Linked DNA regions of Neodiprion lecontei. The protein of the gene in region 1 interacts with the protein of each later gene in a pairwise test. Links are inferred from orthologs where the notes say so. Each region holds a gene or a part of one and is shown on either strand. Other genes may lie near its edges. The genes, in order: glutaredoxin 3 and anamorsin homolog.

Evidence for each region.
Region 2: the proteins of glutaredoxin 3 (region 1) and anamorsin homolog interact in binary tests that used the Homo sapiens proteins (3 or more experiments, as listed by UniProt). The link is inferred for Neodiprion lecontei from reciprocal best matches to the Homo sapiens genes GLRX3 and CIAPIN1.

The regions. Positions count from the first base shown.
Region 1 is NC_060266.1:4,869,698-4,877,846, forward strand, and holds the start of glutaredoxin 3, read left to right. Parts: upstream 1-2,025; 5' UTR 2,026-2,146; coding exon 2,147-2,196; intron 2,197-3,735; coding exon 3,736-4,368; intron 4,369-5,923; coding exon 5,924-6,034; intron 6,035-7,801; coding exon 7,802-8,021; 3' UTR 8,022-8,149. UniProt on the Homo sapiens protein: Together with BOLA2, acts as a cytosolic iron-sulfur (Fe-S) cluster assembly factor that facilitates [2Fe-2S] cluster insertion into a subset of cytosolic proteins.
Region 2 is NC_060263.1:19,488,064-19,492,217, reverse strand, and holds anamorsin homolog, read left to right. Parts: upstream 1-1,938; 5' UTR 1,939-2,065; coding exon 2,066-2,219; intron 2,220-2,299; coding exon 2,300-2,631; intron 2,632-2,741; coding exon 2,742-2,886; intron 2,887-3,057; coding exon 3,058-3,170; intron 3,171-3,257; coding exon 3,258-3,353; 3' UTR 3,354-3,548; downstream 3,549-4,154. Other genes in the region: ubiquitin carboxyl-terminal hydrolase 10, read right to left, coding at 4,121-4,154. UniProt on the Homo sapiens protein: Component of the cytosolic iron-sulfur (Fe-S) protein assembly (CIA) machinery required for the maturation of extramitochondrial Fe-S proteins.

The DNA.
Region 1 (8,149 bases):
TATTTTCATACTGTTTCTTAGAGATTTTCATCACTGCAACAAAGGAAAATACTCGAAAAAAATCCATCACGACAGGTTTTTGCTTGAACTCGTGTTTGTGGTTTCATTCGGAGTGAAATTCCCGTTTGAACTCGAAATCCGGTATACTGTTCTTGATTATAAAAATCCTACACAAAAGTGATTTCTTATTTTTATTTTCATGCGTATCAGAGTGAGATTCAAGAATAAATACAATCAGGGAAACAGAAAATGAAACGCGGAAACGTGTTCGGAGAAGGACCAAAGAGAAGAAGAAAAGGTTTCATTAGGCAAAAAGAATGAACACGGAATGTTAATATATTTCATGAAAAATATAGTTCAGTTCATTGTGATGAAATATTGGTTTTTTCATTATTTTTATGCTTTTTTTTTATGCAAACATCTTGTATTTTGCAAAAATACCGTACGTGGTGGAGGAAAATGAAACTTATTCTTGGATTCAGCACGCTCGAAAACAGAATATTCACCAAAAACATCCTATGCAGCTGAGATAAAATATTTTTTTGCAGACCTGTGCTGTAGATTCAAAAATCAAAAATCTCCCCTAGCCTCAAAGACCTTTGTCTGATAGATCCTGAAGAATGTCTTAAGATTGGCTCCGAACATGAGAAGTTATAGTAAAATATGTATACATTTTGAAAATTTGATTTGCCTGTTAATCGAATTCAAAGGTCATCCAGTGTCACGATGCAATGTTTGAACCGAAGGTTTCATTACTTCAAACAAAAACGAAATTTCCAAATTTTTATGATCCCCACGGTGACTTGGTGATTTTTTCGAGTATTCTGTTCCTATTTTATAGTAATTGATTGTATTCATTGCCAACCCATTACTTGGATTCATTCTATTCCCTTCTGGCTTGAATCATTTGCATTGAAATTAACTTGAAAAATAAATCAATATTTCGATTTTCACCGAACCATTTGTAGGGACAATTATATGAACGTAATGATGTGTCAGACGGCAGCTCGCCGTTTTATATTTTCAGTTGCGTTCAGCTTAAGATTACGAACTCCGGATGAACTAGTCATGAATTTATATTGGATAATGTGAAATTCGCACCGAATTTATTCAAAATTCGATGGTACTTTAACTACTCTCTCTGTGAATCTAGTGTTACTGTATTTTTTCTGAAAGGTGCACTTGATATTTTATCGTATTTGACTTCAAATTGTTGCGCTGAAATTTGGCCCCAATACCGAACAAGTAGGAGAGTGATTTAAATGAACGAACACATGAATCTTGAGATCCTATATATCGTCATTAAAATATGTACAATGTAATATACTTTTAATTTTTTTAAGGTTCGATTTAGTACTCGGTTTTTTAATTTTGGGACTTTCCATGCATGCGCGACGCGATTGCGCCTGTTTATGTGCAACCCGAACCATTTCACCAATTGCCTACATGCAGGCGGAAATATTGCCCGCGGTTCATCTTCGCTTGCAAACATTTTTACATTACTGTGAGAAAGCCAAAAGACGTATAAGCGTTTGTTTTCACCTAGAAAAGATTTTTCAGCCAGTTAAAATAACGATATCCAAGCCAAAAGAGCTATCAGCGACAATTGTTGGTCTGAAAAATGTCACAAAGACCATTTTTAACCTAAAAGACGTCAAATGCAACGGGATATCTCGTTTTATAGATCTTTTCAGAAGCCAAGGGACATCTTTTTCCAGCATTTGTTACTCCCAAAGCTCTTATTGAGATCATTGTCAACCTAAAAATACGGTTAAAAAAGTCTCTAGACTTCCTAAGAAGACTTTTGTCGCCGGTGTGGCCAGCCAAATGAAAAAAGGTTGCCTCATGGTTGATCATGGCCATGTCGGACATCTCGCTCGCACATTATCTCTAACCCGCTTTATCGCACAGCGTGGTACTAAAGCGAGTGAGACAGACGTAAAATTTTACTCCTGGCGGCGAAACGCCGAACTAGCCATCACAGCGCCTCGTGATGCGAGGATCTTGGCCACGGATCTTGGCCTTTGTGAGACCTTTGGCATCCATGGCCGCAGTATCCTGAGTCGCGTAGCGCGAGCCGGTTGGAAGAGTTAAATATTTATTTGCATAATCGCTGCTGTGCAGGTCTGAAGGGAAGGGTGACAGGATGGCTGTCACAAACTTGGCGACCGTCGACGAGTTCAACACGTACATCAAGTGAGTTCAATTACGGCAAGTGACTCGGGTATTTTTTTAAGGATTTTACAACCCTTGAAAAATCACGAGGTTGAAGTTAGCAACGTTATCGTAACGAAACATTGGGGGGGAAAATCACTGTATTTTAAGGAACTTGGTTTCCAAATATTCGTGTGTTTTCTTTTATCCCGATTTACCGGATTTCGTTCGTATCGTTAAATAACGGTTCTTGCCTCGTGAATCGTTACGATAACCTTACTGACTTCGATATGATGAAAAATCTTCATTCATCCAAACTATGCGATGGTAAGGCATATCCGCACTTTTGGATCCGAGCCAGGACTCTGTAACACTGTTGAAGAAATCTAGACTGCATTCTTTTGAATCGATTAGACGATGGTTAGTGCAACTAAGTGTCTAAAACAGTTTGGCTAATTTGCATACTGCAATGACTAGAATGTCTTGTTTTCAATGCTGACGTTTGCGCATAACCTCGAAAATTGATACTTGCAGCGTCGTACCTTCTGATAATTGAGTTATAATCTAGTCACTGGCTTATCGACCGGGTAAGAAAATGCAATGACTGGAAAAAAACTGATAAAATTTTCCCACGATATCAAGTTACCTACCCTCAGTCACCGATAACTTGAAATCGCACTAGAAGTTTTTCGGGTCATTGTATACTTAACGCGTTATATAGTTATATACATATACTATCTCTCGTGGAAAATAAATAACGGCTTCACTTCAAGAAGGTATTGACCTGTTTCAGTGTTTCTCAATCTGACCAAATGAAGCCGAATGTTTTACATCACTCAAACGTTTTAATGTGACATTTGAACTATAAACTTGTTTTCATAAAAATGGAAATGGGAAATAAAATGTAACGAAACTTGTTCCTTGGTACCCGAAGCTTTGTCATTCGGATTCTAATTTCCATAGCTCAATTGCCACGGGTATATCTTCTTTGAAATGTAAATACTTATCTATTTGAAGTTTTGTTCGCATTAAAAATGCCGAAAATCAAAGGAAAGAGAAAAATTTAAAAAAAAACCATCGATTATTAACAACCAAATTCACAACTCTAAAAGTACCGGTGTCTGATGATTCGTAGAAATATGTTTATTTGTTGAAACTTCAAGTCACAATACAGAGATTTCGTCATTGCCATTGAAACAAAACAAATACATCCGTTTGAAAAAACCGAGTGTTTAAGAAAAGATACAGTTAAATAGATGCAAAAAATTCTTATCTCTGATGAGTTTGACTATATTGTTGAGGACCCTTGAAACAGGTCAATGTTTACGTCGATAATGAACTTTTGCAAGAATAAAAATTAAATGAAACATTGCCGAAGATAACCTTTAATGTAAAATGATATATATATATATATATATGTATATGTATATATATATACATAATACTTTTATAAATATATAATACACGATTACAGATATAGCATAGCAGATATTTTTTACAACTGCAACGTTTGTTTATATTTATTTTTTTAATCACCATTTTTAATCACCTTCGTTAACCAACGTCGTTTATTCACACCAGATCCAAAGATTTGACGGTGATCCACTTCTACGCGGCATGGGCGGCCCAATGCGCGCAAATAAACGATGTCCTCGAAGAAATGGGAAAGTCAGCCGACTACAAGGGTGTAAACTTTGCGAAGATAGCAGCGGAGGACGTTCCAGAGGTTTCTTTGAAGTTCGGCGTATCCGCCGTACCGACAATACTGCTGCTTAGGAACTCCGTCATTACCGACCGAGTAGACGGCGCGAACCCGGCTGAGTTGGCCACGAAAGTAAAGCAACAGATGTCGTCGAAGGATCCGGTGCCGATAGAAATTCCGAAACCGAAGGAGAACATCGAGGAGAGGCTGAAAAAACTCATAAACCATGCGCCCTGCATGCTTTTCATGAAGGGAAACCCGGCCAATCCACGGTGTGGATTCTCAAGGACGATAATCTCCATCTTGGACTCTTACAACGCCGATTATCAGACCTTCGACATTCTTCAAGACAACGACGTCAGGGAGGGCTTGAAGAAGTTCAGCAACTGGCCAACTTATCCACAGCTATATTTGAACGGCGAATTACTCGGCGGTTTGGATATTGTTAGAGAAATGGGCGAAGCCGGCGAACTTGAGGCTATGCTGCCCAAGAAAGTTAGTTTAGAAGAGAGGTGAGTTTAGAAGAGGTCGCATTTTTTCATTGTTGGATAAAAGGAGTTCAAGTTTTGAGCGCCAGTTTTCTTCCAAGTCTTCGATACTGTTGGAAACTTTTTAATAAAATTCCAGATTAACTCAATATTTTGAGATTTATTTATGGATAATAATTCGTTCCGTGTGACTAATTGTTGCAAAAACAGCGTAAATGAGACAGACCGGATAAAGGAAGTTCTCTTAACGAACACGCATAGTACATAAAATAAATGGATATTAAGAGGGGAAACCTTATACAAAGTTAGACGATAACAGGATAGTTAGATCATCTTCAACAGATACTACATTGTCAATGACAGAAATTTTTCTCAAAACAATTGTTCGTGGCTTGGAAAGTATTGACGGTAACTGTATTTTTTCTGTTCGCAATCGGCCACCGGATTGAAGTTAGTAACGTTAATCTAACGAAACAGTGAAACTAAAATCATGGTTTCGAAAGTTTAGAACAACTTTAAAGGAGTTTAATTTTCCAAGCTTGAGTAAACTTCGTTTTTTAAAAACTACTAAATCAAAGTTCCCGACTCATTGATATTGTGCCGGGCATAAAACTGTTCTTTTTTTTTTTTTTTTTTTTATCCCTTCCATTCGCTGATTTCTAATGTTTGACGCGAAGGTCGCGGAAATTGAATGTAAAGTTCTGTAAAGAAGAGCCCACGCACGAAACTGCGTGTAATTAAACGGAAGAGGGAAGGGTTTAGGAACTTTACGAGCGTATATATGACGCACCGCTGGAGCGCGACATGAGTTTTACGACTGTCGACTGTTCTTTTTTTTTTTCTCTCTCGATCAACTCGGTAGATAACGCCGAATTCATTATTTTACACCGGGGATCGTATCATTTCATCGACCTCGATTGTCATTGGTCGGTAGAATTCTACGGTGGCCTTTTCATTCTTACATCGCTTGGTTGGCAATTTGAAATTATAAATTATTTTTATCAGTTTTCCAAGCTCAACGCCAGGAAAGTTTTTCACGTATATATAACGTATACCTAACGATACTCGAATGATAGTTGCCCCATCATTTCACGCTGGCGCTCATTTTGAATTCAAATTCAAATATAAAATGTAAGCAAGATTTAGTAATTCGATTATGTAAATACGTATAGTGAAATATCAAATACTTATAATACTTATATATAGGCACACCTATTAATCTGCGCTCACTTTTATTCATCTGTTTCTCTTTCAGAAGTTGAAAAGGATTAACAGCGGTTCCTATATTTTCTTACATTATTAAGTTATTAGCTCATCCGTAGATATTACGAAATTAAGAGTCGAATGAAAAAAAAAAACCTGCATTTTTCATCCATTGTCGAATAACATTGTGAATAATAAAGAGGAAAAAAGAAAATAATGCCTCGGTGACGATACAAATCTAACGTCAAGTCCAAAGTTTTACTGCTGAATATTGAACAGAGCCTTGAGTCCGTATAGTCGACGAGAAGTATTTACCAAGAAACAAAAAAAATATATTCCCTCCCATTATCCTAATCTTCGTTCACGTAATTCTTAGAGTTCGAGAAGTCATCGCCAGGGGAAAGACAGTGATCGTCATGAAAGGAACCAAGGAGGAACCGAAGTGTGTTTACACGAAACAAATCATGGAGATCTTCGATGCGATAAAGTAAATTCAATCGATTGACATTCCCTTAATCACGATGGATAACAAACTGAACTTTCTCTCGGCAGTCGAATATCATCGGTACCGACGAATAGCACCGTAACATGTTCCATTCCGTTTTCGGCCTCTGACAATGAGTGAGACACTAACATTCATTAATGCCCTAACCTTTCGTCTAACTTGTTTTCGGTCAGAATAAAAATCCGAGCTCGATTCTATACGAATTTCGTGAAAATGACCGGCGATGTAGCTGACGTGAAAGAATCTGCCGCATCTACAGTCATTTTCACGACAGTCTTATAGAATCGAACTCGCATTTTCTTTCGGACCGAAAAAAAGTTAGACGAAGGGTTAAGACATCGATGAATATTACTGTGCATAATCATAGACTCGCGGCTCCATGAACGTGACAGCATAAAGTCGACTAATGTCACTCGTATTTGATGTCGTAACTCACGATGAAATGTAACAAATTCACTGCAGAAGAAGGTCAGCAACTTGCCGTAGGTTTTGCGCTCGGTAAAAGGACCCGAATCTGACATATCGGGACTGTATTTCGTATTCTGTCCTATTCGAGATGACGATCATGAATTCGAATTCGGACAACGTATTCCTGCTTTCGAAATTGGTATACGGATGTATCTTCATACTCTATGGTTCACACCTGCATCGGACAAAGCCACAAGGTTTAGCTGTATAATACACAATAGGGTGGTTTATTTATTAACTTTTTTTTTTTCAAGATGCCACGCGAAAAATTTGTGACAAATACTCGGAAAAAAAAAAAAAAAAAATGGCATGTAAAACGGGGAGGAAGTAGAAAAATATTTATAGGTCGTTACTAATTATTTTAATATTTTTTATTCGTTTTTATATGTACACCTTACGGACTTATATACATATGTATATTAGTTTATTTTTTTCTTATCGTGGTAGAATTAATCATTGTTTAAAAATATCAGTACCGAAAAAAAACAGGGACATTAAGGTGATGCGACGCACCTATTTCGGTGGCAACAACTGTTGTCCAAATTTCTCCGAGACGATTAATCGGACCAAGATGCAAAAAAATATAAACTAATACATATACAAGTCCGCAAGGTGTAGACATAAAAATAAATAAAACAATATTACAATAATTGGTAGCGACCTCTAAATATTTTATTACCTTCTCCAGATTTTACGACAACTTTTTGTTTCAGTATTTGGCACAAATTTTTCGAGTATCACATCAAGAAAAAAAAAGGAGAAAATTGTCCCAAAATGAATCATCCTAATACAAACGCCATCTGCAACCCTGCTGGATCAATGCCGTCACGCTAATTGTGCCACGCGTTGAGATTCCATTCCCTCAAGTGCTATTCGTCGAAAACCTGGATTGCGTAAAAAGTGTGATATTTTATTTGTTGGTAGAAAACAACAGTCATTCATAGTATACACCTAACTCTGCAAAAATTGTTGAGAGATATTTTTAGTTCCGGTTACCGCTCAGTCCTTGACTATTTTCATTTTTTACCACAATCGACAAAATATAGTTCTAGGTAGAAAATGAAAATTAGTTTTCTCGCCGTTACCGGAAAGTCCAGTATCCGTTACTATTCTTTCTCATTACCATCACTGTTAAATTGCAATTGTCAAATAAGCGATGCAGTTTAACCGAACATACAAACCCGATTACTCGTTGAAATCGATACGTCCGGTGACAATTCAAAGAAGTTACATATTTATATAGACTAAATAACAACGAAATCTATCTTTCACCACTCACAGCGTGCCTTACGAAACATTCGACATACTCATGGACGAAGAATTGCGAATCGCTTTGAAGTCCTATTACGACTGGCCCACTTATCCCCACGTTTACGTCGACGGAGAACTGATCGGCGGTTTTGAAACGGTTAAGGATCTATACGAAAGCGGCGAACTCATAGACACCTTGTACTCCGAAACGTTCAAGGGAAACCGGCGAGTCTTAAATTCTAAACTTTAAACCCAAACGAATATTCTCAAATCGTGCCTTTTGCAGAAATTGGTAATAAGGTTTTGGACGAGAGCGATTCGTGATAGAAAATGTAACAAAGAAACTCGACAAGGTCCGAATCTTTTGGAACAGCTGTA
Region 2 (4,154 bases), on another chromosome or scaffold:
ACGAGGAACCACGGAGCGCTTATCCTGGAAGTCGAGTTTCACCGCGTAGCGGAACCGAAGCGCGGGATCCGGGAGGTTGAGAACCCGGTACTCGAAATACGTAGCGGAGCCGAAGCGCGGGATCCGGGAGGTTGAGAACCCGGTACTCGAAATTTGCGGAGCGCGACTCTCATCCGTCCGCTCTACTGCGCGGTTGGTACCGGACTGAGGAACTCGGCTAGCCGATTTTAGATTGGTGACGTCACTTTCCGAACATCCGAAAATTCAAACTTTGGTTTCGAACTGTAATACTAGGTATGATGATGTATGATGTACGATGTATGATGTATGATGTACGATGTATGATGTATGATGTATGATGGTATGATATGATGTACTATGAGTTTAGTTTTCACATTTCATACAAGAAATACGCACTTTGTCTTTCCTGCCGATTCCAGACTCAAGCGGCTAGGCTCTTCGATGATCAGCCGTTTATCCACGATATATTCTTCAGTTAACGGGTCAGCTAATAATAACGCTGCCGTTATGCGACAGTTGGATGATAAAAATTTTTGCTCGTACCTTTCAAAATAAGCTCGAAGTTTTAAGAAGCTTCGTTCTTTCTCTCCCTCTCAAAAAAAAATAAAAAAATCAATAACAGTCACCTTTTGAGGCCTTCAAATCTGGACACCGCGTTGAATACTGTCTCATATACGGAGCATCCATTTCATCTCGATCAAAATTAGCGCATCCGTGATGTATTACAGTTACTCTGAATTTTTTTCCATAAGAAAACTTTTCGAAAAAACATTCTGCTTCTCTTACCAACGTAGATACTTCACTTGCGACTAGCTAAAACAGCGTTTCGATTCTATGCCTACGAAAATTTAAGATCGAGAGAGCAAATGAAAAGTTGTTGGAATATTTATCAATATTAATGTTACGGAATACATCGAGTACGTGTCGAATAAATATATAATGTGTTCATATTATAGACGTATTGTTGTAGGTAACACAGTTTGTCTCCTGGAAAATTATAAAATTTACAGTATGCATCACGTATCAATTGCAAATGGATCATATATATTAATAACGTACATGGACCGCATATACATATATACTTTTTGGTCTCTGCATCATTATTACATCAGATCTATTATTATTTCTGATCTATGTATATGTTCGTTTCTCGGGTACCTGTACTTCGATTAAATCACTGTTCCGCTACGAATTTTGGAAGAAATTTATTCTCATTGTTAATTTCTTGTATCGCCGACAAGTCGGTAACGCTGCAAGTCGGTAAATACACACAGGCTAAGTAAATCCTAACCTGACAATTGATTATTGATCAAGTAATTACTATCTAATGTCGGAAATTCGATATCACAAACTTACAATCGCCAAAAAACGATGAAAATTTCGTTCAAAACCGGGAAGGAGTTTTGAAATGCGGCATCACATCGCGGTACGGAGACGCTGTCAACGGACGGATACACGATCGTGGAAACCACCGCGTTTGTTTGGAAAGCTCCCACAGCTCCAGGAGAAATTCACCAGATCTGAGGAAAAAGCGCGCAGTTTATTTTCCCATTCAGTTTTTTGGGCTTTCCAGCCAAATGGTGGACCACTAATCGTTCTTATCAAGTTTATCGTGATCGTCAAATGATTGCGCGTCGATTAAAGCTCCTGTCGAGTTTAACTGAAGTGAAAATTAAAAAAATCCGGCTAACCGAGCGCCTCGATTTGTTTATTTGATATAAATTGACTACCAAATGATTTGATTAGGCTACCAATCACCACCAATCGACTACCAAACGATTGGTATAGTCGAAATTGAAAAAAGTTTAAGTTGCTTGGCCAACTTTACGTCAAACCGACGACGTCCATGAAACAATAAAGTGTCCACACTCTGCGTTTTGCTGCCCATGAAATCTAGGCTTAACACGCAATCGAGTCGAAGCTCGAAGTCAGACGATAAACGTGTGCTTCTGTCAGTCATTGAGTACAGTGAGTGTTGTTCCAATCCATATTTAAATACATAAATCACGTTGTCATTCACTCTCGACCAGGTATACGGAGGAAGATGGAAAATTTTGTAACCGAAGGTAACAAGGTTTTAATAATATGGTGTCCTGGAACACCGCTTGAAGAATTGCAGGAGTTTGTTTCACAGACCAAATCTAAGGTTGGAAACTCTGGTAGCGTTTCACTGGAGAATTCGAATCAGATCATAAAATGTAAGTTTGAACAACTATTGCAGTGATGAAGTTCTCCAGTCTCATGATCATGAATTATTGTCGTTATAACCTTATTGCAGCAAATCACGACGCCTCTTCCGTCGACACAATTTTATCAGGATTTCTGCATCCAATTATCCATAATAATATCCTCCTCGCTGAGGCACTCCGCATTTTATCACCTGGTGGAAAGATTGTTATTCAGGAGCCGGTCGTAACGCAATCCGGTCATCAAAATCTCGGGACATGTGCGGAACTGATTTTAAGATTCAAACTAAATGGATTCCTCCTACAATCTCCAGACTGCAAAGCTTCCGCAGTCTCATTCGAACTTCGAAAAACTCTCTCTGAACAATATAACGTAGATGAGGTCAAAGTATGCCAAATTATAGGCAAGAAACCACAATTCGAGGCAAGTTTGTGACATGACAGATTTCTTCCATAGATATCGATTGCGTTATAAAATTTTGGAAATGTATGATTTATAATCTAACAAAGTTATTGCATATTTTCTATTGGCAGGTAGGTTCCTCGATGGCCCTTCCATTGGCTAAATCCGCTGTAAATGTATGGAAACTGGATGATGCGGTAGAGGAAGATTTAATAGATGAGGATACTCTTTTGGATGAAAGTGATATTCAAAAACCACAAGTAGCTTCCCTTAAGGGTAATTGAATTGCATATTGATTCACCCGGGTTGGCTTGAACCACAAAGAATCATCAAGAATTAACAACCTAAGGATTAGATCATAAAGAAAATATTCGTATTATTAAAAGCTAAATTAATTTGTATAATTTTATAAACTGCTGAATTCATTGCGTTTTTTTTAAATTTTAGTTTGCGCTACAACTGGGAAGCGGAAGGCATGTAAAGATTGCAGTTGTGGATTAGCCGAGGAATTATCGGGAGAAACTGTCACGCAGAAAGTGGAAAAATCTTCCTGTGGAAGCGTATGTGTATTTGTACATCTAATTACAGTAAAAGTATTTTTGCTTGTTCTTTCATAGGTCAAATTTTATTTCATTACATTATTTCAGTGTTATTTGGGAGATGCTTTCCGTTGTGCGAGCTGCCCGTATTTAGGAATGCCAGCTTTTAAGCCAGGAGAAAAAATCTTGCTGCCTAACAATTAATGCGGATCTTGTGTTAAACACCTATTAGTTGATTCTTAATGATGGAAGCCACATTTTACGGTCGAATTACAAACAAGATTTTCATTCCCTGTTTGATTAAAATAGACATATAGACGATATCTTAGAGATCAGATATAATTAAATTATTAATAAAATAGAAGGGTTGAAATGAAAAGAACCCCCCCCCCCTTAAAATAAACGACTGTACAATGGAGTTGTTCCAATATTACTACTATTATTATTATTATTATTGTTTTTTTGTTTGCTGATCTATCAAACATGTTAAGAGATGTAAAACACAAATACAAACAATTTGAACTCAAAATAAAAAATGAGAAAACCAGAGGGAATAATTGGCATTAATTCAGTGAAAAATTCAGAGGTAAAGTATCGCTCCAATGTCATATCAGATTCCCGCATTGTTTATTAACTTTCCTCATAAAATTTTTACATTCTGAAAACTGCGATTTTTCATTATAAAATTATTGAAGACGTCGCAAAAGTAATCAAAATTATTTCCATTAATTTTCTTAATATTTCATTTAAGAATCTGATAAATTATACATCAAATATTATTATCATCATGATTATTACTATCATTGTAGAGAAAAATTAAGGCAATTTTTATAATATCTAGTAACGAGTCATTTGATAAATTTTCATAGCTAAATATAAATTGTATGGTGAAAAAATGTTGAAATTTATATATGTATATAGAAACTATAGAAAAAGATGCAGTTTTATCTACTAAATTTCTTATCAACTACTTAACGAATCCTGTCGTTGTTAAGCTGGTTATTA